7 linked regions of the Xenopus tropicalis genome follow. The protein of the gene in region 2 interacts with the protein of the main gene of each other region in a pairwise test. Links are inferred from orthologs where the notes say so. Each region holds a gene or a part of one and is shown on either strand. Other genes may lie near its edges. The genes, in order: trio, exoc1, trim9, sybu, ccdc88a, kif5a and nup54.

Evidence for each region.
Region 1: the proteins of exoc1 (region 2) and trio interact in a two-hybrid assay, tested with the Homo sapiens proteins (2 studies listed by BioGRID and IntAct). The link is inferred for Xenopus tropicalis from reciprocal best matches to the Homo sapiens genes EXOC1 and TRIO.
Region 3: the proteins of exoc1 (region 2) and trim9 interact in a two-hybrid assay, tested with the Homo sapiens proteins (2 studies listed by BioGRID and IntAct). The link is inferred for Xenopus tropicalis from reciprocal best matches to the Homo sapiens genes EXOC1 and TRIM9.
Region 4: the proteins of exoc1 (region 2) and sybu interact in a two-hybrid assay, tested with the Homo sapiens proteins (2 studies listed by BioGRID and IntAct). The link is inferred for Xenopus tropicalis from reciprocal best matches to the Homo sapiens genes EXOC1 and SYBU.
Region 5: the proteins of exoc1 (region 2) and ccdc88a interact in a two-hybrid assay, tested with the Homo sapiens proteins (2 studies listed by BioGRID and IntAct). The link is inferred for Xenopus tropicalis from reciprocal best matches to the Homo sapiens genes EXOC1 and CCDC88A.
Region 6: the proteins of exoc1 (region 2) and kif5a interact in a two-hybrid assay, tested with the Homo sapiens proteins (2 studies listed by BioGRID and IntAct). The link is inferred for Xenopus tropicalis from reciprocal best matches to the Homo sapiens genes EXOC1 and KIF5A.
Region 7: the proteins of exoc1 (region 2) and nup54 interact in binary tests that used the Homo sapiens proteins (3 or more experiments, as listed by UniProt). The link is inferred for Xenopus tropicalis from reciprocal best matches to the Homo sapiens genes EXOC1 and NUP54.

The regions. Positions count from the first base shown.
Region 1 is NC_030682.2:71,189,035-71,193,190, forward strand, and holds the start of trio (triple functional domain protein), read left to right. Parts: upstream 1-1,356; 5' UTR 1,357-1,531; coding exon 1,532-1,574; intron 1,575-4,156. UniProt on the Homo sapiens protein: Guanine nucleotide exchange factor (GEF) for RHOA and RAC1 GTPases. Involved in coordinating actin remodeling, which is necessary for cell migration and growth. Plays a key role in the regulation of neurite outgrowth and lamellipodia formation.
Region 2 is NC_030677.2:40,673,869-40,677,368, reverse strand, and holds part of exoc1 (exocyst complex component 1), read right to left. Parts: intron 3,497-3,500; coding exon 3,386-3,496; intron 584-3,385; coding exon 519-583; intron 1-518.
Region 3 is NC_030684.2:96,135,436-96,138,935, reverse strand, and holds part of trim9 (E3 ubiquitin-protein ligase TRIM9), read right to left. Parts: intron 3,357-3,500; coding exon 3,203-3,356; intron 1-3,202. UniProt on the Homo sapiens protein: E3 ubiquitin-protein ligase which ubiquitinates itself in cooperation with an E2 enzyme UBE2D2/UBC4 and serves as a targeting signal for proteasomal degradation.
Region 4 is NC_030682.2:134,354,344-134,357,843, forward strand, and holds part of sybu (syntabulin), read right to left. Parts: intron 209-3,500; coding exon 106-208; intron 1-105. UniProt on the Homo sapiens protein: Part of a kinesin motor-adapter complex that is critical for the anterograde axonal transport of active zone components and contributes to activity-dependent presynaptic assembly during neuronal development.
Region 5 is NC_030681.2:24,456,901-24,461,063, forward strand, and holds the start of ccdc88a (girdin), read right to left. Parts: upstream 2,801-4,163; 5' UTR 1,853-2,800; coding exon 1,790-1,852; intron 1,021-1,789; coding exon 920-1,020; intron 1-919. UniProt on the Homo sapiens protein: Bifunctional modulator of guanine nucleotide-binding proteins (G proteins). Acts as a non-receptor guanine nucleotide exchange factor which binds to and activates guanine nucleotide-binding protein G(i) alpha subunits.
Region 6 is NC_030678.2:140,743,357-140,746,856, reverse strand, and holds part of kif5a (kinesin heavy chain), read right to left. Parts: intron 2,779-3,500; coding exon 2,751-2,778; intron 1,343-2,750; coding exon 1,264-1,342; 3' UTR 1,223-1,263; intron 1-1,222. UniProt on the Homo sapiens protein: Microtubule-dependent motor required for slow axonal transport of neurofilament proteins (NFH, NFM and NFL). Can induce formation of neurite-like membrane protrusions in non-neuronal cells in a ZFYVE27-dependent manner.
Region 7 is NC_030677.2:81,656,434-81,660,243, reverse strand, and holds the end of nup54 (nucleoporin p54), read left to right. Parts: intron 1-144; coding exon 145-238; intron 239-520; coding exon 521-628; intron 629-961; coding exon 962-1,081; intron 1,082-1,937; coding exon 1,938-2,048; intron 2,049-2,954; coding exon 2,955-3,083; 3' UTR 3,084-3,310; downstream 3,311-3,810. UniProt on the Homo sapiens protein: Component of the nuclear pore complex, a complex required for the trafficking across the nuclear membrane.

The sequences.
Region 1 (4,156 bases), on a different chromosome or scaffold from region 2:
TCTTCAGTGCCGGATTTCAAATCCGGACGCCCGCCCCCCACGCATGCGCAAACAAACCCACCTCCCCCTGTGCCACGCCGACGCAATCGCGCATGCACTGGCATTTAAACTCCCATACGGAGCAGTGGGGAGAAGTCCCCATTGCTCCGTATGGGAGCGAAATGTCACAATTTTTTTGCGGCGGGGCGGCATGCCGCCCTAGGCCTGGGCCTTTGTGGCCTCGCTACAAATACAGGCCTGGGTATCTTACTTGTCTCTTATATATTGTCTCTTAATCCAAATACAAATTGGTAATGCTCACCTATAACAACTTGTTACATACATATATTGTCTCTTAGTTGTTGTGCTTTTTGTTCTACCATGAGGCAGTGCAAGCTCATAGTACTCCCTAAATGTTAGCTGCCCAGGTGTCATGAAAATTAAAACGTGCATTACATAAGCAGATCTGGGAAGCAAATATGGAAACTGACGGCTAGGCCTTTTTAATTTAATATATCTTCTGAAGCAGTAACTATTGCCTCAGAAAGCATTGGTCACACTTGAAAAGCAATTGTGAAGACTAAACACACTACAACATTTCTGATTCCTCATTATGACCCTTTGAGGTTTAAAGTGGGCTGCGTAATATAGCCCTCAGCAAATAGGTGCACTGACTCAGATGTTCACCAGGAAATTTACTCTCTCCAAAGTTATGGGATTTTCATAATTTTGGCAAAATTATCAAATTTATTTTAATTTACTCATTCAAGCTAAAACTGCACAAATGCATTTTTTAGCAGTGTAAAATTTTCAAAGAGAGGAGCCTGAAACACAATACACTAATAATCTACTAGCACTAGAGGAAATCCTTTTTTGGCCACAACTCAGACTGCAGAATGGAATTGCTGACCTTGCAACAATAGTAGCTTGCCCTGATTTATGTACTGAAGCAGCAGTGTTGCCTCCTTCTTGTCATTTAGGCAATATATTATTTTGTTTTTCATTTTATGTGACCAGTATAATTAATTCTGTTACTGCATGTTCCAATATCCTACAAACAGCCAGTTTTGATTCTGAAAGTGTGTTATTTTGGTACTTCTGACATATTAGCTGTTTTTCCTTTTGGGAGGCTTACTGCATTAATTAATGAACCAGTGATGTGACATCATATGCAGCACATGCATACTGGCCTGAGACAATCTGGTATTTATTTTACTGAGCAAATCCAATCCCTGTCTTCCTCTTCTCCTCCTATTTCTTCTCTCCGCTCTTTCCTGCAGAAAAAAAAAATGTCCAGCAGTGACTCATCCATTAGCAGCTTGAGCAAAAGAAGCCAGAGGCAGCAGCTTCTCACTACCTTCTTTGCTTGCATTGGTTGCTTGTGATAAAGCATTCGCACGGATTGTTTACCAGCGGATGCCTTCATTTTTCTTAGTATAACAGTGAACCATTTGTAACTAGGCAGCAATTTGGCTACACACTGCCTGTGTTTGTGTATTATCGTGTGTACATTTTATGTGATTATAATTTAGTCCGTGGAGGTTCGGGGAAAATGCAGACTCATCGCTGGAAAGATGACGGAGAAACAACATTAGGTTTGTCTAGGTTTCTGTTTTTGTTTCCCAATACAATACGTAGTTCTTGACTGGGGTATTCAGGTGCATGCAATAAATGCATCTCAGCCATGTAAAAGAGAAAAAGAGTACAGATAGTATAGATAAACAACCATCATGTTATGATTATTGTTTACCTTTCTGCATGTGGTGTCATTCATTAATTGGAGCATATTTGTACATATTAATCAGCCAATGGTGCATTCTCAGGATGAAACATGTCAAACAAATTGATGCTTATATTTATAGTAAAAATTCATGGTCTACCCTGTATAAATACTACTTGTCTGTGTCTACATATTTGGGACAGTGTATGGCAGATATTTGTTTTTCTAACTCATTGCTCTGAAAAGAACTGATATTGCTAGTGTTGTCATGAATATGCTGCAGTCTAGCTGGTTTCTTATTACATTTCCTAGCAGTGCATCTGCATCTCTGACAAATATACAATAAATAAATTAAATAAAAAAAGAAATAAAATACACCACAGTTTTTCTTATGATGAGGTAAGGCAGATGCTGCTGTTGCTGGAGAGGAGTTGACAACCTAAGATACTAGACAAATTGTGGGCTCAAACTGCAAATTCATACCATAAGGATCTGAAAAGGGTTAAGGTCATCCAACATTTGTGGAACTCCTTTAAATACGATATTACATTTGTGGTCATGTTTTTTAAAAGTATATTAAGGTACTTTTCTTTGGGCTATGTGGTTTGCCTACAAATGTACTTGTTTATGTAGCATTTTGGAGATATTGTTACATGTTTGAGATCCCTTATCCGGAAACTTGTTATCCAGAAAGTTCCGAATTACGGAAAGGCCAATTCTCATAGACTCCATTATAAGCAAACAATTCTAATTTTTAAATATGATTTCCTTTTTCTCTGTAATTATAAAACAGCACCTTGTATTTGATTCTGACTAAGATATAATGACTCCTTATTGGAGGCAAAGCAAGCCTATTGGGTTTATTCAATATTAAAATGATTTTAGCAGACGTAAGTTATGGAGATCCAAATTACAGAAAGATCCCTTATCCAAAAAAACCCCAGGTCCTGAACATTTTGGATTACAGGTCCCATACCTGTACTTAGAAAATGAGGCCATAGAATAAAGCTGGCCATACATTGAAACATTTGCTTGTTTTCAAATGAATGGATCTTTCCCTGATAGGCCCAACTTGAGGGGGTGATATGATTGATCCATGATCTGATTGGGCCAAACAGTCGGCTCACATTGATAGGATACAGGCCATTGGGATAAGTCACCAGGCAAGCCATTCATGCAAAGACAGCAGTTTGGATCATTTACAATTTACTTTATATATAACATAGTAACATAGTAAGTTGGGTTGAAAAAAGACATGCGTCCATCACGTTCAGCCATAATGCCTATATATACCTGCCTAACTTCTAGTTGATCTAGAGGAAGGCAAAAAACCCCATCTGAAGCCTCTCTAATGTGCCGCAGAGGGGAAAAAATTCCTTCCTGACTCCAAGATGGCATTTGGACCAGTCCCTGGATCAACTTGTACTAAGAGCTATCTCCCATAACCCTTTATTCCCTCACTTGCTAAAATCCATCCAGCCCCTTCTTAAAGCTATATAATGTATCAGCCAGCACGACTGATTCGGGGAGGGAATTCCAGAACTTCACAGCTCTCACTGTAAAAAATCCTTTCCGAATATTTAAATGGAACCTCCCTTCTTCTAAACGGAGTGGGTGCCCTCGTGTCCGTTGGAAGGACCTACTGGTAAATAAAACATTAGAAAGGTTATTATATGATCTCCTTATATATTTATACATAGTTATCATGTCAACCCAGGTGCCTTGTTTACATTTATCTTGTGTAACCTTTTAAGCACCATATCCTGTGTCAACCACTGTGTAGTTGGATGTGGCATCCTTGCAGCAGGATCTTGACCAACTGGCAATCTGGGCGGCTAAGTGGCAGATGAAATTTAATGTGGATAAATGTAAGGTCATGCACCTGGGATGTAAAAATATGCAAGCCACTTATACCCTTAATGGGACTGCACTAGGTAAATCCATAATGGAGAAGGACCTTGGAGTCCTTGTAGATAATAAACTTGGCTGTAGCAAGCAATGCCAGGCAGCAGCTGCAAGGGCAAACAAGGTTTTGAGCTCTATTAAAAGGGGTATAGATTCACTGGAGGAGGGGGTTATTCTTCCCCTTTACAGAGCACTGGTAAGGCCCCATCTAGAATATGCTGTTCAGTTTTGGTCTCCAGTGCTCAAACGGGACATTCAGTTAGAGAGGGCCCAGAGAAGGGCAACTAAGCTGGTAAAGAAAGACTGGCCAAGCTGGGTCTGTTTACACTGGAGAAGAGGCACTTAAGAGGTGACATGATAACTATGTATAAATATATAAGGGGAACATATACAGGTATAGGACCTGTTATCCAGAATGCTCGGGACCAAGGGTATTCCGGATAAGAGGTCTTTCCGTAATTTGGATCTCCATACCTTAAGTCTACTAAAAAATCAATAAAACATTAATTAAACACAACAGGATTGTTTTGCATCCAATAAGGATTAATTATA
Region 2 (3,500 bases):
ATGCACTTTCAAATGACTAGAAAATACCATCCACTACCTAGCATTTCACAAAGCTACAGGGTCACAGAAGGAAAAGTATCTCAGATACAATCTCAGATACACTGACAGTCCACACCAACCAGGTTACCAAGCAAGGTGATAATAAGATAGGAATATATAATGATACAGTGGCAAGGATAGAGAAGGTGGGGCACAGAACTTCTTAAGAATAACGGTTCCACACTTAGCATGAAAATAAATTTTACATCCCCCAGTTATTTAGGCTTCCTTGTTCTTTTAAATGGTTCCATCGTAACAAGATTAAAGGCATGTAGATAATTTCATAAGGCAAGACAAGTGAGAATCAGAATACATTGCCCATCATAAGGAAAAATTATGTGAAATTATATGAGAAGCAGATTTACAAGGCAATTCAGTATGTATTATCTGTATTCTGGCAAAAGATTAGAATGGTAAAACCCTGTTTCCAGGTTCATGTCAATCATATGGACAATTAAATGGGAAAAGTCAGAACATACTCTGACTGTGCTCCGGTGTTTTGGGTTCGAGAGGAAACTCCTCCATCTGACTCGTCTGTTTCGCCCTTGAAAAGACAATGGAATTAGTACAAGAAGGAAGAACTGAAACACACTGCTTAGTTATGCTTTCATAGTCAATAAAACAGAAATCCATGAGCTACAGACTAAAATACATTGGCTAATTGCACATCCAACTGTCAATGATAAGACTACTGGTAGCCCAGGGCCAAGAGTATTACAAGTTACGGAATAACAATGGGACTAATATCCATAATCAGTCTTAGCACTGGGCACATTATATGTTACAGTTAAAGGAACAGTAACACCAAAAAATGAAAGTGTATAAAAGTAACTAAAATATAATGTGCTGCTGCCCTGCACTGGTAAAAGTTGTGTGTTTACTTCAGAAAGTCTACTATAATTTATATAAATAAGCTGCTATGTAGCCATGGAGGCAGCCATTCAAAGGAGAAAAGGCACAGGCACTTAGCAGATAACAGATAAAACACTATTGTATTCTACAGAACTTATCTGTTATCTGCTTTGTAACCTGTGCCTTTTCTCCTTTTTTCCAGCTTGAATGGCTGCCCCCGGGGCTACACAGCAGCTTATTTATATAAACTATAGTAGTGTTACTGTAGCAAACACACCAGTTTTAACAGTGCAGGGCAACAGTGCATTATATTTTTATTACTTTAAAGCTCTTTCATTTTTTAGTGTTACTGTTCCTTTAATAAGCAGTACTAAAAATCTGACATTGAGGTAGTGCTGGGTGGGGTTGAACCTAAACCTAAACCTCCCTGAAGACAATTATAGGACAGGTTTTTAACAACCATAGCATTGGGTAAACTTGATGTATAGGAGATTTATTTAGCTATATAAAGGAGTGGGGGATTAGGATTTTTCTGTTTCTTAACTGATAAATTAATTACTGCACCATTGTTATATTGTTTACAGTACAATATAACTAACACATTACAGAAATGCAAAGCATTTGTTTCATGATGTCCATGTGGCATTTTTTAAAACACATTATTGAACCCAAGACCCAGCTCCTTGGAGCAGGCTTGCTCTGATTTCGTTTTCATGCTGTTACAGATAATAACACTGCCCCCAGAACCATATTAGGGGAGGCAAGGTCAGAACTAGCAGTAGAGTGGCACTGGAGTGCCTATTACTGATCCATTAAAAATATAAGTGAGACAGACTTTAAGAAAACCGCAACAGATAAATGAAATAAATTATTTATGCCTTCATAAATTACATTTACTAATCTTCCCTCTATGCTTTTTAACAACATTCCTTAAGAATTTTGTGGTTTACTTATCCGAGAAGGCTAACATCATAAGCTTGTTAAGTCAAACCATGCTGTTTCTGTCTGACCTTTTAAAGGAAATACTGCTTATGATTGCTGGCCATCACACAGGGCACTGAATATGTCCTCACCATTTTATTCTAGTGTGCATGATTATCGATATCGGGCTAATCAAATTACAATGAGAGGCATAGGTGCCGTCTGATCGGGGACTGCATCAATGAGCCGATGCAGCCCCAATCCTAAGCAAAATCAAACCTGATAAATATTGGCCCGTCGGGGGTGCCCATACATGGGCAGATAAGCTGCTAATTCGGTCTGTAGGACCAGAATCGGCAGCTGAAATCTGCCCTTTTATGGGCACCCTTAGATCTGATGGATGGGCAGCACCCACAGAACAATGCATTTAAAGATTTCTAGAGAAGAGAGTACTGCTTGTCATGTAGGATTAGTGGGAACACCTATTTGCGCATGCAGAAAAGTAAGGTGAAGGCAATATAGATTACGCTGGCAGGCAGGGCCAGTCAGTGCTGCCATGGGCCCCTCCCGCTGCTGCCAGGCTGCTCACCCTGCCCACATGACCACTGCCATCTGCACTAACCCACCTCAAGAGCCAACTGGCTCCAAGACAACTTGGTGGGAGACTCAAACGGTTGTCAAATCCTTCCACCCAGGCCCAGGCCTTTGTTACCTTTACATATAAACAGGCCTGCTGGCAGAACAAAGATGGTGGCTGCGAGTTCCTCTGAGGACATCATTTATTGTGAGAGAGTAAAAGTAAAATCTTGTTTGGAAAGAACAATGTGGCAATTCAAAAGGGTTGATGTTATGCTACTTTCTTTGTCCATTAAAGGGACTTTACAATTACAAATTAAAGGGAATTTACAATTACAATTTTATCATAACGTAGTGCAATTTTTTAGTTTATACTTTAAATGTGTCCTGATTGGGCAAAGACTAAAACTGCCTATATACAATGAGATTCCCTACTTTGGCAAAGATCAGATTGTACAGCGAGCCTATGGAGACTCATTGGACTAAATTTTAAAACTTGCTGAGAGATATCTCACAGATTTTTGACTAGATACCAGGCCCTCCTGAAAGCCCCATACACAGGCTAATGAGATGCCAACTCCATCTGGAGGGATAATCTCAGCAGCTATTATTAGCACATGTATGGCCACCTTACCTTAAAGAGAATTGAAAAAATAACGCAAGATTGTTGCACTCCATATAATTTTACTAAAAGTCCCAAAGTTTGCACAAGGTTCTCTAACCATAGCGACCAATAAGATATTTGCCAGTAGATACCACATACTGATTGGTTAGTATGGATAACAAGACCTGGTGCAAACTATGGGACTTATAAAATCGCCTCTTTATGTAAAATTATTTAAATATCATTTAAAAAAAAAAAAAAAAATCCTGCCCTCCACATGCATAGACCCTAGGGGAAAGAGGGTCATGAGTCTAGTTTAAAATAGATTGCTGTAAAAACCTGCAGGTTAAATAGAATAGTAAAGCAAATAAATAAATGCAGGGTGTGCCTTACCATTGGAGTTCTAGACATATTCTGGTGCTGAGAAAGGTTAAAGAATTTACTGATGAAGTCTTGTTCTGCCAGACATAGTGGCTCCAGTTCACTTAATACCTGTTCAAAGATCTGA
Region 3 (3,500 bases), on a different chromosome or scaffold from region 2:
AGTGTGGTAAATGGTGACACTGTTTCCCTGTTAATGTAGAACATTTTGATAAATATACCTGAATAATAAAAACCCCATGAAAGTATAGATTCAAGGAAGCATTATGCTACTTTGTAAATGATGCTGCAAAATAAAGAGTGAGTGTTGCCCTGAGCTAAACTTGCTGAGATGAAAGAATTTGCTGGCCAATGTTTGGCAGTGTGACAGAGGAAATATTTGTCTGAGGAAGGAATTGCACATACAGCAGTTACCTGCTAAATTACTTTATTTAACACTGACAAACAACAGCACTTTCTGTTACTTGTCCAAGTGAACCTCTTAAGGAGACAAGCAAGGTAAATGCTTGAAAAGGAGGAAGCAGAAACAAGGTTTTCAGCTCAAAAAATTATTTGTGGTAATTACACATCAGACTACACTTGTGCCTTTAGACATAAATACAGTTGCAATATGAAGGACTCCAACAGATTTCCTAGGCCCCCAGAGTCCACAGCGGTTCTACAGATGTCTTTGAATGACATTTTCATTTTCTAGATTTAAAATCTGTTGAATGTGTTCATGTGTTCAAAATCTGTTGAATGTGTACATTATTGTACCATCACCTTAAAGAGCACATGCATCTATACCGCTGAGGGGTGCAACTAGTGCTAGATTAAAAATATGCCTCATATTGTAACATTGTACATGTATGGGACCTGTTATTATTATTATTATTTACATTTATAAAGCGCCAACATATTCTGCAGCGCTGTGTTATCCAGAATGCTCAGATAAGGGATCTTTCTGTAATTTGGATCTCCATCCTTAAGTCTACTAAAAATTAAACAAATACTATAGGATTGTTTTTCCTCCAATAAATATTAATTATATCTTTGATCAGATACAGTACAAGGTACTGTTTAATTATTACAGAGAAAAAGGAAATAATTTCGAAAAATTTGAATTATTTGCTCATAATGGAGTCTGTGCAAGATGGCCTTTCCGTAATTTGGAACTTTCTGGGTAATGGGTTTCCAGATAATGGGTCCCACATCTGTAGCATGAATCTCACATAGGTACAAGTAACTTTTCAGGGGATACCCACACCGTTTCTACAGCGGGGTGCTGCTGCCATGAAGCGAGCTCAGGCCACAGCACCCCCAGAGTTACTAGGGGTGGCAAAAAGCTGCTGAATTTAACAGGTAACTTTAAGAGCCAAAATTCGGCTCTGCTACTGCAGAAAGCGAAACTGCTTCTCTAAAATAGCGATGCGCCTCCCGGGACCCCCTATGGCACTGTAAAGGTAAGCACGGGGGGCTCAGGGGTCAGAAACGCCCCTGTTTCAATGAGTACAGAGGCTTTAAATTCTTTAATATTCTTGGTAAAGGTATTTTTCTTTCAACTAATCTGTTTCTTTAAATACATTTTACAAACAAAATATTCATGTTTATTCTAAATCCAGTGTGCCTTTTACTGAGCATCTGTCTGGATAATAAGCACCATTCAGGCATCTAATTATTGTGTGGCTGTTTTCAGCCCACGATTTTGTGTTGGAGTGTCGGATCTGATCTTACTGCTCTTGACAAGCAAGAAATGACTCCCACGGGCTCTGATAAATCTGTGCCTTCCATACATAATCAATTCTATAAACCTATCCAAGATAAACCCATTTTAAACTAAAGCCTATAATATCTTGACAAGTATAATGGAAATACTGGTTATAAAGAAATAAATTAATATAAATATATATATATATATATATATATATATATATGTGTGTGTGTGTGTGTATATAAAAGTATGAAAGTATGTGCAGGTCCAGAACTAGGGGTAGGTAGAAGAGGCACGTGACTAGGGCGCAATGGTGGGGGGGAATGAAGTGCAAGACACATATCTCTTCTGTTGCCTACCCCTAGTTAGGGCCCTTGCCCTCCATCGCCCACATCATGTCTACCCCTCCTAATAGCACACGGGGAGGGTTAAGGTGACGAGTTAGGTTGCCTAGGAGGCCCAGCCAGCTTAGACCGGTGATGTGTGTGTCAGGACAATATTTACAGCATATATAGGCACCCTAGAGCCTGGAATGTACAGTGCCTAGGTTGCGTGTGTTTGTATGTATATGTTTGCTTGTGTGGGTGTGTTTATATATTTATATGTGGGTGTGTTTGTATGTACGTATATAGACTGAGAGGAGAACAGCCAGAAAATTAACAAAGTAACCTACATAGGTTGGATTCCACTACACAGAGCCTAGTGCTGTTCTCTGATAGCAACTTTGATAGTTATGGCAGCCCCCAGTACAGGTACCATATCCCTATCAGGGGCACAATATTTGTAATATGCTATTTTGCAAAAAACATTTTTTGTATTATTGTGTTTAGCATGTAAGATCACTGATATATCTAAGTGGGTAATGAAACCCACCTCTACTCACTGAAGCATATAAGACATTTGCAAGTAAATTGTAAACATTCTTAGGTGGTACTTTGTAAATATTTAATGTTATTATTACAACTTTTTACAGGATTCTGCTTGATTTCAGTCCCATCTGAGCAGAAGAACTGAAGAGATTATGTTAAGGAACGCTAATGGAGCAAAAAATCCCTTCCACTGTGCAATAAATACACTGTATTGTTATAGAAGCTATTCACATTCCTCATGCTACACCCATAACATTCCCTTGAACAGACAATAATAAGAATCATGAAATGCACATTACTCCTTTATGTTAATGTGGTCAAATATGGACCTTTTAGCCTTCCACCCCCAGCCTCACTGGTTCTTCCATTAGGATGCTCTCAGTGTTCTACCCCTCAGAAGCCATGTTCCAAAATTTTGCACTGAAACACTTTGAAATTTTGACTGAAACACTTTGTCTGTAAATTACTGGGATTTGCTGCAGTTTTGGTCCACACAGGATCCTGCTGGGTCATTTAATATTAGATAATTGGATTACCACAGGACAGATAATCTCCCTGCATAACTGACTCTGGATAACAAATCAACCACAACAAAGAAAGAAGGAAGAGGGATATATAAAGTCAACCTAACTGGCAAGGACCAAACATGGAGTATCTTCCGTTCCACTACTTGCCCTGTTTAGCTCAAGAATTAAAAAAAAAACCTAACATTTTCATGATTAAATTAATAGGTTAAAAGTATATCATGCACATATACATCTGTATTAATAAGTATCTCATCATGTGAACAATATGAGACAGTTTACCTTTCATCTGTACAAAGTCGAGTTGATGGATCGACTGCAAGAGTGGTGCACTGTCCAGATTTAGATCAAAGTCGGTGGTCATTCTAGGGGTGAGTGTTCCTTTCCCCCACTGATCCTCAGTCAGGTGAACTCTCCGAATAAGGGCATCTGAAATCTAATTTCACACAGTATTTAGGCATATAGCTTCAACATCCTAACTGCATCTTATTTTATGGTAATTGTATTTTATATAATTGGCAGGAAAACAGAAGGATCTTCTGCCCTTACGGTAAAAAAAAACATGGCATTGTATAATAGT
Region 4 (3,500 bases), on a different chromosome or scaffold from region 2:
CATATTACACCATGCAATAGCGGTTAGAGATCTCTAATATAACTAGTAAGAAGTCTGACCTGCAGCTGGGGGTGCTAGGGCTAAGTCTGTTCAGAGATAACTTACTTGCGTGAGAAAGACGCCTTTTTCCCAGACATTGCCGTCATATGGACTTCTGGTGCAGAAATGCTTCCCGTGCTGCTCGACGAACTGAAATCAGCTTCACTGCCTACAGTATGCAAAGGGAAAGCAAATGTAAGGCAAAAAGCACTCCCAGACTGCTCATGATGTTGCCTACAAAGCAAAGCCAGGGACAGCTCAGCAATGGGGGAGGAGGGACTGCACCATACACACTGCATTATGCAGAGCAGAGTTAATAGAACCGTTTTAACTATATTGCTATGTCCTGTCCCAGGCAGAAAATCTATATCTCAGCTGCACTTACCTTCAATCAGCTAGTTCTCTTGAGAGAATAGAGATAATTAAAGTTAGGGTTGAAATCAGGCATCAGGTGTAGCTGCTAATTTTTTTCCGGCCTCTGAACCAACATTTGTTGAAGAGCCCCACACAACACAGAAACCCCTAATATACCTACTACTGTATTCCTTCAAAAAGTAGGAATAAATACCATTTTTATATGTTGAAATCCAGCTGCAGGGGAGGAGGGACTAAAACATTGATGTTACAAATTGTAACAACTTCTCCACAGCTTACAGACAGCATGCAGGAACTACATAACCCACAATGCATTGCAGTGATATTCCTTTCCTTATTGACATCATGTGTGCAGGGAATTGTGGGATTGGGAGGATGCAGGCTAAGGGCGGGCTGAGGGCATTCAACTACTGTTACATTTTTGAGTCTCAAAGTAGTCAGCCAGATCAGCAGGAGAACAATTAATTGATGTATATAGCAAAGTTTCTTGAAAAAATGTTTTCTTTTCAAAAAGCTCAAGTGTTGTGGATGGAGTTCCCCAAAGATGATTCCCTTATAGCCTTTCAGAGCTGGACTATTGTAGTGGGAAATGGATGAATTCTCTCAATTTGCCCAATTTACCGTTACTGTAGCCATTTTGCTCAGCTATATCAACTATCACTACATTTTCTATATACACTTACAAAAATAAAAATAAAAAAAATAAAATCCTGCGCAATACAGGCTACTTACAATGTAGTAGTAGTAGTATAAAAGCAATGAACATATGAAGTGTCAGCGGTAGCTCAACACGTTTCGCGTGCTCTCTGCACGCTTCCTCAGGAGCAAAGCAAAATAGAATGTTATTTTTATATTAAACTATTTTACACTATATCTGCCTCATCTTCTATCCTATATACATTGTGAAATTGGATCCCTCTTCAATCAATGCCCGGCTGGGATTGACCTACATGCTTCTTTTTAAGATGTTCTGGTGAGCAGTTACAACACCATTATAATATATACAGAGTTGAGGTCACTTTATCTAGTATTGGTGTTTGACTAAGCACTCACGTTCTAGTTTGTTTATAGTTTTTTTGATTCCTTTATCCCATTGATCTGCACCATATTTTTTGTTTTGTTTTGTTTTACTTTTATGCGCTTCCATCAACACTACTGCATACATACTTTGAGGCTCATCTAAAGGGGAGCTGATATCAAGAGGAAGCAGCACGTGATTCACATTGGTTTCTCACTATATTGAAGACTTACACATACGGACCTTTTATCAAGAAGCGCTGGGTTTAGGAGTGTTTATTCACTTCTCAAACACTAGCCTAACTAACATGCTAAATGAAATGTGTAATTCCTACTGATTGTGTATGAGGGAGGCCTAGAGAAGTGGCAGGGGGCTCAACCTAAAGACCACTTAGGGTAAGGTGTGGGATTTGCTCTTCTAATTACTGAAAGTCCGACACTTAGGGGGGCAATTATTAACATTCCTTTTTTTTTTTTTTGCTAAAACTCAATTTTTTTGGGAATGGAGCATAGAAACCACGAAAAAACCCTAATGCAAAACTTTGCCATCCAAAAGCTGTCGAGGCCATGTAGAAGTCAATGGGAACTGCACTGGGCAAAGTCCACAAAGATTAATGGGAAAAAGTAAATCCCACAAAAAAAAAAAATTGTGGTTTTTGTGTTCTTTTCATTTTCATTCTGCATTTTAATTTGTTTGTGATTTTTGAATCTTTTAATAAATGACTAGACATTTGTGGGTTTTAGTGGAGTTTATTTGTTCGGAAGCGCAGAAAAATTCTTATGTAAATGAGGATTTCAATGTTTTCTTATTCGGACTCTTTTTGCATTTTTCTTTTTTTGTGCTTTTTAGAATAGGCCGTTTTATTACTCTGCATTTGTGGTTTTCCATGGTTTCAAAAACCACTAAAATCAGAATGTGTTCCTCCTCAGTTACTATAGAACAAAGGCAATTCCATTTTCCATTGCTAGTATTATTTGCTGGTCTCAGAATCACTGTTAAAGAATGAATATCAAATTTAATTAAAAGGTAACAGGCTACAAAGCTCTGAGCTCTTTGTGCTGCAGAAAATGTAAACAGCGCTTCTCCATTATTCTGCCCAAGATATATTGTTCCCTGCCAACTGGGTTTCATTAAGTTGCTATGGCCTAAAACAAAAGGAGATGATAAATATTTAGGCTGGGCTCCCTGCTGCCCCTTGTAACACTGCTCCCATAGCCCAGGCAGCAAACCATTGCCAACAGATGGAACTGAATATCTGCTTTATCCCCCCTAGTGGAAAGTGGGTTTTTTTCCCCGCCGGTGTAGCCATGGAGACAGAGACTTTAATAACTGCTTGCGCTTACGGGTCAAGTAAGCAAATCTACACAGCTCCATGGCAACAGAACGGAAAGGAAGGCGCAGCCTATCAGCAAGCAGTTTATCTGGGCAGAATGTTAACACTTTACGTTTAGCCTCATATTGAGAAGTTTATTGGGTTGACTTTCGTTTCCATTAGACCAGTGCTGTCCAACTGGCGTGCCCTGTCTGGCTACTTTGATGGCTTACCTTTGTGTAAGTTTAAATGGTATCAGTACTGTGATTAACTGCCCCCTGCATGGTTTACATCTCAGATTCAGGCTGTAAACCCCCTGTATTGTTTAAAAAAGTAATCCCCTGTGTAGTTCGCACCTTTTAATCTCTGCATTGTTTACCCTCTGCAGTGTTCAGGCAGAGTATGGCACACACAGGCAGGGTAGGGCAGGCAGAGTATGGCACACACAGGCAGGGTAGGGCAGGCAGAGTATGGCACACACAGGCAGGGTAGGGCAGGCAGTATGGCACACACAGGCAGGGTAGGGCAGGCAGTATGGCACACACAGGCAGGGTAGGGCAGGCTGAGTATGGCACACACAGGCAGGGTAGGGCAGGCTGAGTATGGCACACACAGGCAGGGTAGGGCAGGCTGAGTATGGCACACACAGGCAGCGTAGGGCAGGCGAAGTATGGCACACACAGGCAGCGTAGGGCAGGCGAAGTATGGCACACACAGGCAGCATAGGGCAGGCTGAGTATGGCACACACAGGCAGG
Region 5 (4,163 bases), on a different chromosome or scaffold from region 2:
AGACACCCACAGCAAAAATCAATTATCTCATAAATTAAAAAGCATTTATGCTAATAGCATGTGTGCGATATACATCCTGCATTTGTCCTAGAAATATGGGCCAACAGCACATATTGGTAAGTGAGCAACACATGAAGGCCAGCTCTCCCAGCCTGTGGCTCGTTGTGACGTCACTGCCTGGATGTGAGCCACTTCCTTATCTTGGCCTGCAGCCCCTGCACATGGCTCAATGTCTTCTAAGCTACAGATTTTTCTTAAGACACCCACATAGCTTTTACTTCCTCCAAATACTGAAAGGCCTTCCCTGCTGGAGATGCTTATCCGTTACATTAGACTAAGCCGATGAACTTATAGTAGTCTAAAGCAATACATTTTCTGAGATTAAGGACAGGCTCGTCGCTTCGATAAAATGGGTCATTGGAATTCACAGATCAGATTCCTGTCACTGTACATAGGTGTCAATGTCAATCAAGGATTGCAAGCCCTGTTAGACTCACTGAGGAGGAGGGGAACCCCCCCACACAAACATACATAGGCTAAGATGTGCCAGTCCCTGGTTCTGCATCACAGTGCAGCGGGCAAAAGGGTAACATGTACCAAAGCAGGAGATATTTATTACCAGGTCATAGAAATCTAAGGGCAATAAAGATCCCCCACCCTATAATTGGATAACTGATTTGGGTTATACAGACGTCATGCTAGAAAGCACAATTCTTCATTGACTGTCAGCTAATTATGCTTAGTTAATTAACTCTGCTTGTTGCTCTGATACTGTCTGCAGTGGCAGGAATCTTTATCATATATGTCTGTAGTCCTTATACACCATATAATCTCGACATGATCTAAATGCATATATAAATTAGCACCAGGGATACCATTATACAGATTTTTGCTTTTTTATGATTGTGATTGGACTTACATCTGAAACATGACTTCATTCAGAAACACACCGTCTATTAACGCCACATATTCGTCCAGCAGGGTGCCAGTCCCTCTGAGCAAGGTGCCAAAGGTCTTGATCTGCAGGGAGAGAGAGGGTTAATCTATAGGGATGTGCCAGGGGGCTGATGGTGGCACCACGCTGCAGGGAGAGAGAGGGTTTATGTATAGGGATGTGCCAGGGAGGCTGATGGTGGCACCACGCTGCAGGGAGAGAGAGGGTTAATGTATAGGGATGTGCCAGGGATGCTGATGGTGGCACCACGCTGCAGGGAGAGAGAGGGTTAATGTATAGGGATGTGCCAGGGGGCTGATGGGGGCACCACGCTGCAGGGAGAGAGGGTTAATGTATAGGGATGTGCCAGGGGGCTGATGGTGGCACCACGCTGCAGGGAGAGAGAGGGTTAATGTATAGGGATGTGCCAGGGAGGCTGCTGGTGGCACCACGCTGCAGGGAGAGAGGGTTAATGTATAGGGATGTGCCAGGGGGCTGATGGTGGCACCACGCTGCAGGGAGAGAGAGGGTTAGTGTATAGGGATGTGCCAGGGGGCTGATGGTGGCACCACGCTGCAGGGAGAGAGAGGGTTAATGTATAGGGATGTGCCAGGGGGCTGATGGTGGCACCACGCTGCAGGGAGAGAGAGGGTTAATGTATAGGGATGTGCCAGGGGGCTGATGGTGGCACCACGCTGCAGGGAGAGAGGGTTAATGTATAGGGATGTGCCAGGGGGCTGATGGTGGCACTAAGCTCAGGGAGAGAGAGGGTTAATGTATAGGGATGTGCCAGGGGGCTGATAGCACCACGCTGCGACAAGCTGCAGGAGAGACGCGCAGAATACGGACGCTTACCCATATCACCAAAGGGCTGGACATAAAATTTTCCAAGATCGGAGCAAAAATTTCGTTCTCCATTTTCTACAGCTAAATAAAAATAATGACGATAATCCAGCGATTTAATAAAAAAAACCAGAGGCAGATATTCCTAATGCGATAGATGTCTCCGCTGGTCCCGGGGTCGCCGAGCCATTTGAAAAGGAAAAATCCTAAATGAAACGTAGCAATCCCCCCAAAATGGAAACGGTTGGAGAAATGTTCCGCCGGTACCAAATCCCCTTAATAAACGGGAGACATTGTGCTGCCGAGCGGCCAGCGGGCCCCCTCCCTCCCGGCGCTGCAGAGGTGCGGGCTGCGGGGCTCAGGGGCTGCGGGCTGCACAAGGGAGAGGCATCATCTGGAGACTGGGAAAGGGGGAGGGAATGAAGGAACAGGAGGGGAGGAGAGAGGCTCTGGGCTTCTGCACATCGCACAGAAAGGGGGGGGGGGGGTGAAAGGGGAAAAGTCGCAGTGTGCTGCCCTCGTCTGCGACTGGCGACCGTGCGCCTAGCCTTTAGCTTCTGCTGCCCTATGCGCCTACTAATGGGCCCCCGTCCGCTCCTGCTTCGCACAGGGGGGAACACTTCCTATTGGATCTACATATTATTATTTGAAAAGCCCAGCATCCCCCAACCCCTCCCTTCTTCCTGTTAGGGATGGTTATTGCTGGCACATGTCTGCCCCTGATCTTCTGCAGATCTGTTACCCCCAGTGACTGGCACTGCCCCCCATTCGCCCATCCATCAGCCCTATAGTGACTGTGCAGCCGCTCCCCCAGCACTAACCGTTATAATGCTGCTGCTGCTGCTGCCCCCAACATTTGGGTTTGGAAGGGAAATGTGATAATACCCCCCCCCCTTATTATTGCTTAGGGTTTCTCTGTAGACAGTTCACAGAAATTCCTTTATGTTGCAGAAGAATAAGCAGCAGTCTGATTTTCACTACACTGCCCCCCACTCTCATAGGAGCATCTGTAAGGAGGGGAGGGGGGAGTGATGCCTAAGCAGAGAACAGCTCTATACTGTTATATCCCCCCTCCCCCAGAATAATCAGGCCTGCACCTCTGCCTGGCTAGGTATTACCCTCTGCTCATTAACCCTTCCTCCCCCTGGCCAGGGCAGAACCCCACACCATGCACCTAGTTCTCTATGGGTCAGGGAAGAACTGGGGTCAAGGGCAATACAGGGAGGGCAAAGCTCCACTACAATAAATCATGGATTAACAATCTAAATTCCTCCAGCTATTGTTAAACTACAACTCCCAGATCTAACTATGGACCTCTGGTTATCGGTTTAGACGTCCCTAATATTGTTAAAATCTTAAAATGACTACAGTGTTCTCTGCACTTAGTAAGGATATTTTCTGGGCTGGTGGGCTATGAGGGTGGTGCTGCTTATAAGGGAGTGTTTATATTTCACTGAGTTATGCCATAGGATCCACAGACAGGGGACAGCAGGGTCAGCTGTAAGCCTTATGGATCCTCCAGGCGAGAAACACAATCCCTGCACAAGTGGGGATATTTTGGTTTCTTTTAGCCACCAGCTGTTGCTGAAGTACACATCTCAGCATCTGAACAATAGCCGGACATTGGCTTAATTCCGATCCTCTTTAAAACTGGACATCCACGTGCTGAAAGACTAATTACCAATGAATTTTCATCCAGAAATCGCTGCAGCCTGCATCTGAACAAGCTAATTAGACATTGGTGCAGGGCGGGATGGGGGCCCTGTGTCAGCTTTGGATGATATAACATAAAAAAAAGAGTTCTCTAAGCTATAGCCCTAAAGTTCCCACAATCTTCCTGGCATTCTATGAGTTGCAATTGAATGGGGCAAGGCTGCAAAGCAATCAGTGCATCTAAATGAATGGATAATTGTTTATACTGAATGTGATTTTAGCACAGGTCCTGTTCCAAAGGGGCAAGGTTGGGCATATCTGGTGGCTTTATACAAAATGCAAGGCTGCGTATCTCTCATTTAATATATACCCTACTATTATACATGGTGCAATAAGGTATTTTGGCACATTATAATGTCTAGAACCTGGTTGGCATTTGGGTAAAAAAACAAAACCTTGCGGAAGGTGCAGGTTTTGCATCAGAATACAGACGGAGCAGTGATACTGTTTGTGTTTAGCTGCCATCGTGAAGTCAACTGAATAATTATTGGGATGACAGTTACTATGGCAACGCAGCACCAACAATGCAGAATAGTGACTTGCTTGGGAAACCCTCCTGGGGCACTGTATTGACTTTTAGCCAATCTTGGGGTTGGGGTGCCTGCGGGAGAAAGCCTTGGAATATGAAGGGTTAAGTCAGCAAGAAGGCGCTGAGACAGTTGATTGTGAGAAG
Region 6 (3,500 bases), on a different chromosome or scaffold from region 2:
GTTGTGTCGGCAATGCCTTTAAATCATTTATTTGCAGAAATGAGCAAAACAGCACAAGCTTTCGGGGGTGACCCCTTCCTTGCACCTGAGGAAGGGGTCACCCCCGAAAGCTTGTGCTGTTTTGCTCATTTCTGCAAATAAATGATTTAAAGGCATTGCCGACACAACTGGTGTGCTTCTTTCCCTTTGCAAAGCTACATGGAGAAAAGGCTTGGGAGCGGCCGTGGAAGTTAAGCACCCTCTGAGAACATGTATGTAAGTGGTGTGCTGAAGATTTTTCTTTATGTTGACCTACTCAGAGAGGACAGCATCCAGGGCCTGATGTAGATTTCAACAGGGGAGCTATATGGTCAGTGGGGTTATGGTTTTGCCAACATACATGGGCCACAAAGCTGACAGGTTGGTCAGAAGTGGCTAAGCCAGGGGACATTTACATTACCCCTTGGGCAAGTGCTATATCACAAGAGCATGCCCCTTAGTGCTCATTAGTATGCACTTGTGCCCTGGGGTAAACTGCGCAAGCACAGCTTCAGGAAGCCCAGCCAAACCTAAGGCTAATGCCACACAAGGCGTAGTGTGGATATTTTCGGCAAGCGGAAAAGCGCTTGCTGAAAATTTCGCCCTACGCCTCCTACATGTGCCTGCACCCGAATGAATGAGATACGCTCGGGTGCAGGCACATGTAGCCAATATACGCATGAAAATGCGAGATAATGCAAAGTCTCGCGTTTTTATGCGTATATCAGCTACATGTGCCTGCACCCGAGTGTATCTCATTCATTCGGGTGCAGGCACAAGTAGGAGGTGTAGGGCGGAATTTTTGGCAAGTGTTTTTCCGCTTGCTGAAAATATCTGCCCTACGCCTCGTCTGGCATTAGCCTTATCCTTGCTGCATGCTGCTCACTAACATGCACATCTTAATTACTCCACCTGCTCCTCCCCAATACAACACAACCAGCACTGTATTCATGGGGGGAACCGCAGGTCTCTGAGCTCCTAAGTGGTGTGCACACAGAAGATTATAATGTGCATAGTGCAAAAAAATGGCAGATTGCACACTGTGTTCAGCTTCACAAATAACTCCTAATATTTTCCCGCATTTAGCCATCTGTAAAGCAATATTGACAGCAGTGAGGAAATCTTTTCCTTCAATATTCCATAAATAATGACTATACATGTGAACTGACCAGACCATTTAAATGGGTTATAAAGTAGGTATTACCTGAAAGTGCACATGATATGAGAATTTATATGACTGCGTTATTAGCTGGCTGCTGTCTCCTGATGAAGAGGGAACAACTTGGACTGATCCTCAGCTTCACAGCCACATGGCAAATCGCTTCTGTAGTGAAAATAGAAACATTGTTTTGAAATAATGCAACAACTTCAAAGCAAAAATGGGTTTATCCGAAAACCCATTATCCAGAAAGCTCTGAATTACAAGAAGGCCATCTCCTATAGACTCAATTTTAAGCAAATACTTCTCATTTTTAAAAAGAATTTTTTTTTCTCTATAATTAACAGTCCTTTGGATCCATATTGGTGACAAAATAATCCTACATTATATAGTATTTTTAAAAACATTTCCTGTTATATGAAATACTGTTATATTAGCTGTACAGGATAGACTTATTAAATATCCAACAGGGAATTCCAGAGTGATTCACACCACTTTTCATATTAACACTTTCCTGGCTGTCATTGATTTTTCAAGGAAAGTGAAGAGGACAATTTTGCACACATCTCTATAAATCGTTAAAAGGGTTGTATGTTGTGTATTTATTAAACTAGAGTTCACACCAGCTCACCAGAAAGATTTTTTTTTTTTTTTAGATTTACTGAAGGGTAAAAAAGAAACTATAGGGGTCAATTAAGACCACAAGCGCAGTTGGAGTCCCACAAATTTCCCGCCAGTTAGTTGCCCATAAATCCCCATTCATTAAAAGTTAAAATGTGCTCCTTGCACCTCTGTATAGTTGCCTTTGTGCCTCTCAGTCCTTCATGCTTCCTGTTCCGTATCAAGCACAGTTGCACCTATTGACGCAGAAAATCCCTTTAGCTATTGCCACCTCTAGGCCAGGCGGTAGCTCCAGAATTCCCTTAGTGCACTGTATCAACAGGCGCAGCATGCTTGTATCTAATGAATCAGCCACACAAAGCACTCTCTCGCCAGACACCAGAAATAACGCCAACTGGACTTCAGTGAAAGCGTGTTTAATTAACATTGAAGTGCAAGTTAATTTTGATACATCAGCTACAATCGCATCAGGGACAACTCCCCCTGGTGGTGTAAGGACACTGGAATTATGTGAAAAAATGCTGAATAACGGGAAAAAACACAGTTTGGGCTCAAAATTTCACATTGCTTGCTGCACTTGGCGTTTAAAATGATCCGTTACATTTCGTATTGATAGCACAAAACAATACCTCAGTATCAGTAACAGAAAGATATCTTTCTATTGATGCGCTGTGTCATATCCTGATTAAGTTTAAATAGTGCTCCATTTTCAGTGCTGGGTACAACTGCTTTAGAGTCTTTGGTTAACATTCAAATGCAGTTGGCATTACAAAGAGGCTGTGATTTATTGTAGAGTAAGCAAGGGTAACGCTGTTCAAGGTTTGATATAAAGAAGGAGCATTATGATGGGAAATATACTTAGTGACAGAAGAATGCATTTTCATTGTATTTGTAATCTTTGTCACCTTTGGAATGAAGTCAAAAAGTAGAAAACATTATTAGTGCTTCTTACCTGTTATCATTGATATCTGTAGCATTTCCTGTGGGTATGAATATAACAAACATCAGTTTTATAAATGTAAATGAACCAAATAACAGTCACATTTCTACCATTGTCACTGTATCCCCTTAATAAGGAAATCAATTTATATAGGAGAGCAATGGATTTTGCAATGTGCACTGTGCATGTATTTCTGAGACTGTGTACTTACCAACTGAACCCCTGGAGGCTCTTATGGCTGGTCCTGATCGTTCTACCTCCTCCTCTGCCCACCTTATTAGCCCAATGTGTAACTTATAATTTAATTAAGACCCTTTATAAGCCTGCCACTGGCCATTGTCCTTGCTTGGTCATTAAGCTTTCTAGCCTAGATCTTGCCCTCTTGCGATTCGTGTTTTCCTGTTCCTGAGACCCCCATCTGGTTCCCAGTTCCTGAGTCCTTGCCTTGTTCTTTGTTTCCTGTCTTGTTCCTGTACTCATGTGCCCCTCCTAGCTCTGTTCTTGTAAATTTCCCAGTTTTGTTCCGTTCAGTTTTGTTCCGTCAGCTGCCTGTCCCGACTACTGGCCTGATTACTGATCTACATTTTTGACTGCCGATTGTTCCTGTCACTGGCCTGTATATTTGTTCATATTTTCAACTTGCACCAGTTGCTGTTCTGCTATTTTGTCTTCATTAAAACCTTGCATTCATGTTATCATGGCTTCCCAGCTTGGTTCTGCCATTTACGGGTATACCCCGAGTTACCCAGTATACAGACTCCC
Region 7 (3,810 bases), about 41 Mb from region 2:
GTGCAAATATTTGCTCTTTTTTTATTATGCATTTATACAGACATGCTGACAGAAAATTTTGTTCTGGTGTTAAGCCTGTTACGAGAGATATGCAAACAGATACCAGTGCTGTAGACACAACTAACATTTTTTTTATTGTCCCAGGCTTATCCCTGTTCCTATGATTGGCTTCAAAGAGCTGCTGAGAAGACTTGAAGTCCAAGATCAGATGACAAAGCAACACCAGAGCAGACTTGATGTAAGATTTAAGTACAATGTTTTCATTGTCCCCTATATAGACTATGGTTCTCTTATACAGGGAATCTCCTTTTCTTTTGTCTCTAAACTACTAGTACTTAATTCTTTATTGCAACAGTCATTTTGTATTTATATTCTATTATTGTATTTTTCTTAATATATTATTTTAATGAACAGCACTGTGTCTACAAGTAGTGACATATATAAATAAAATACAATAATAATGATACATATATAGGGTAAAATTCAAAGAAAACATTAATGGCCTAAATATCATCCTCAGATTATTTCGGAAGATATTGGAGAACTTCAGAAAAACCAAGCTACAACAATGGCTAAAATTGGCCAATACAAAAGGAAACTAATGGAACTTTCTCACAGGGTACTTCAGGTAATAATGTTTCCCTCAAACTTTTATAGAATTTGCATTCAAGCACTGCCCAGTATTTATTCCCTTGTCAGTTATGCTCAATCTTTGAGTTGTTATATTTACGTAAAAGCTAAAGTGCTACCAATTTTGTATTGTGTTTTTGACTTTTAGGTGCAGAAGCACACATAGTACTTATGCTTAACTTGTTTATGGCATTATTTGGCACTTAGCATTGCTTTGCCATTGCTTGTTAAAAAAAGAAGGGACAGTTCAAGATGCTTTCATGCATTTAAAAACAATTTGTACTGTATGGGATATAAAGGTTAAATTTACAGTGCAGTGTATGTTAAACAGGTTTTAATTAAACAAGAAATACAAAGGAAAAGTGGATTTGCTATCCAAGCAGAGGAAGAGCAATTACGTGTACAGCTTGACACAATCCAGAGTGAACTTAATGCACCAACCCAGTTTAAGGTGAGTAATAAAATGTAATTTCTACCTTTGGTCAAATATGCGTGCTTCTTAGTGTCTTTTTACTAAGGGGGGGGGGGGAATGGCTTAGTTGTTCCTGGACTCCGAGTCAAATGCTTGTATTAAGTTCCTTTATAATGTTCTCAAGGCCTTTGACAAGTCAGTTAATTTTGTTGTCCCTCAGACACCTCCTCTACTGAAGTTGTGGGGCAAGTCACGTAATATCCTTTTGCACCAAACACGCTTGAAAGCTGTACAGAGTAAGCAGTTGATTTTGGTGAAAATAAGTAATGTTGAGTATTACTCAACATTCATTTTATGTATGTTGTTTGGGTTTATGTAAAAAAAAAACCACCTTGCCTTTATGTGTGCTCTGTAATTATTTAAAATCCAATGACAGTATGAGTCAACTTATTTTGAGACACCAATGTCAGATTTACAACTGAACAAAAGTATTTTTATGTGCCTCATTGCTGGCTCTGCATACTGCACACACATTTAAAATATGATTTTGCAGCCACCATAATGTTAGATACTGTTTTGTGGATTATTCAAGTGATGTGCAGGTGTTTTGTTACTATGTGCATATCTAGAATTTATTTTTACACATTTTAAATGTGTTCCTTCGTGCCCTCAAAGAGCTGCAAGTTTGACATCAACTGTTTATTTCCTCCAGCTATATAGCAGTCTCTACATATAAAACAGAAGCAGCAACTAAAACAATGGTTTAATTTAAAAACTTTGTCATTCTAGGTCACAGCAAATGAGACAAGAATCAACTAACTAACAGTTGCTTTTTCCTGTGTTGTGTATCATAAATATATTGATTGACAAAATTACTTTTTAACCTTGTTTTTAGGGTAGACTCAATGAACTCATGTCACAAATAAGAATGCAGAATCACTTTGGAGCTGTACGGTCTGAAGAAAAATATTATGTTGATGCAGATCTTTTGAGAGAGATCAAACAGGTAAATTATTTGCATTTTAATAGCTGTCTTTAATTATTTATTTGAACTGTTTGTGGGGAAAAGAAGTGCAGATTTCTGGGTTGCACTTATGTGCTGCAAGATACCCACTTTTTCTACTTTAGCTTGTCTGGTTCTAGTCCCTGCCAGGAGTACATGCACATTAAAGGATCAGCATATATGAATGTGTTATAACAGACAGGGTGGTGTACTATGTGCTTGCTATGCCCCTTTGCTGTATGCCCTGTTATAGGCCATTTCCAAACATTTTTAATCAAACTGGTAATTAGTTTATTTCTGCACAACTAGTAAATGAGACTAATTCAGTTGCTGATTATTTAAGGTTTTTGTATTCATAGGCCAACCTATAGGCCAAATATTCTAATCTATGCACTGCAAGTTATGCCCCAGGCATGGCTGAAAAACATTTTAAACCATATTATTTCTGACTTCTACTTCTTTACGCCTAAATTTACTGCAGTCATGTGGTAATGCAATAAAAGGTCCAAAGTTTGTCTAGCTTGAATATTCCAAAGCAGTAATCCTTATTGAGATTTATTTTACATATCTCAGAACAGCCAAATATTATAATGCTTTGTCTCAATCACTGTTCATTATATAAACATTCAAAACAGAGGCCAGGGATAATCCCAAAGTCTAAAAAGACAGAGAAATTCACAGAGGCTCTCTAGTGGCCAAAATAGATAATTAAAATAATAATGCAAATATACTCATTCACAACTTAAAGTTGAAACATCTTTTTTATTAGAAATACATATGTATTTCTTTAAAAGAGAATCTCACATTTAAAATAGATCCCAATGTGGAATGACATTCATAATTGTGCTGCTTTGCATTCTGTATCCTTAATGTACACAATTGTGATTTAAACTCTTCTCCTTTTCCCAGCATCTAAAACAACAACAAGAAGGTTTGAGCCATTTGATCGGCATTATCAAAGACAACCTTGAGGATATAAAACTAATCGAACAAGGACTCAATGATAGTCTTCACATGAGAACTGGACTCTTAAGCTGACAAGACACACAAACTCTTACATGTTAAGCGCTGGCAACTTCAATTCAACATTTTTCAATTCAACATCAGGAACAAGCTTCTGCAAGGTTGTAGTTCCTCTGTTAGCAATAAAGTAGTTATCGTATCTACCACCATATCCTTTTGAGAGGAACATCTCATTAAAATAATATTAGAAAATTTAAATGTCTTTTATATTGCTCTTACCAGATTAAAATATTTTTAGAGGCTATTTTTTTTTTTTGCTTTCTGAAAGGGGCACCTATCAAGTACTAGTGTACCCCTGTTACCATTGCCCTTAAGCACTGTAGCTTAATAAAAGCTGACCATACACATTGAAATTTCATTTTGATGTGTCCAATTAGGCCACCAATGCTCTGGTCACTGAGGCTATGGTTGGATTAGCCCAATTTGGCCTAAAGTTCGATTCCTACTGCAGGTAGATGTGAACCACAGAAATGCACATGTGGTCCTCATCTTATGGGATTATCAGATGTGCCCAATAAATACCTGCCTGATTTTTAGGCACCCATAATTGGGCCAAAAAGATGGTGTCTCGGTAAGGAGCGGCCAAATCAGCAGCTTATATTGGCCGTGTATGGCCAAATTAGGTTTGATACATTTAAAGTTAAACAAGAGTGCCACTTCATGTAATCCTACATGCTATTGTCCCTAAAGAACATTGAAAACAGCAATATAAACATTCCTAATTTTCTTGTAAGTTTGGCTA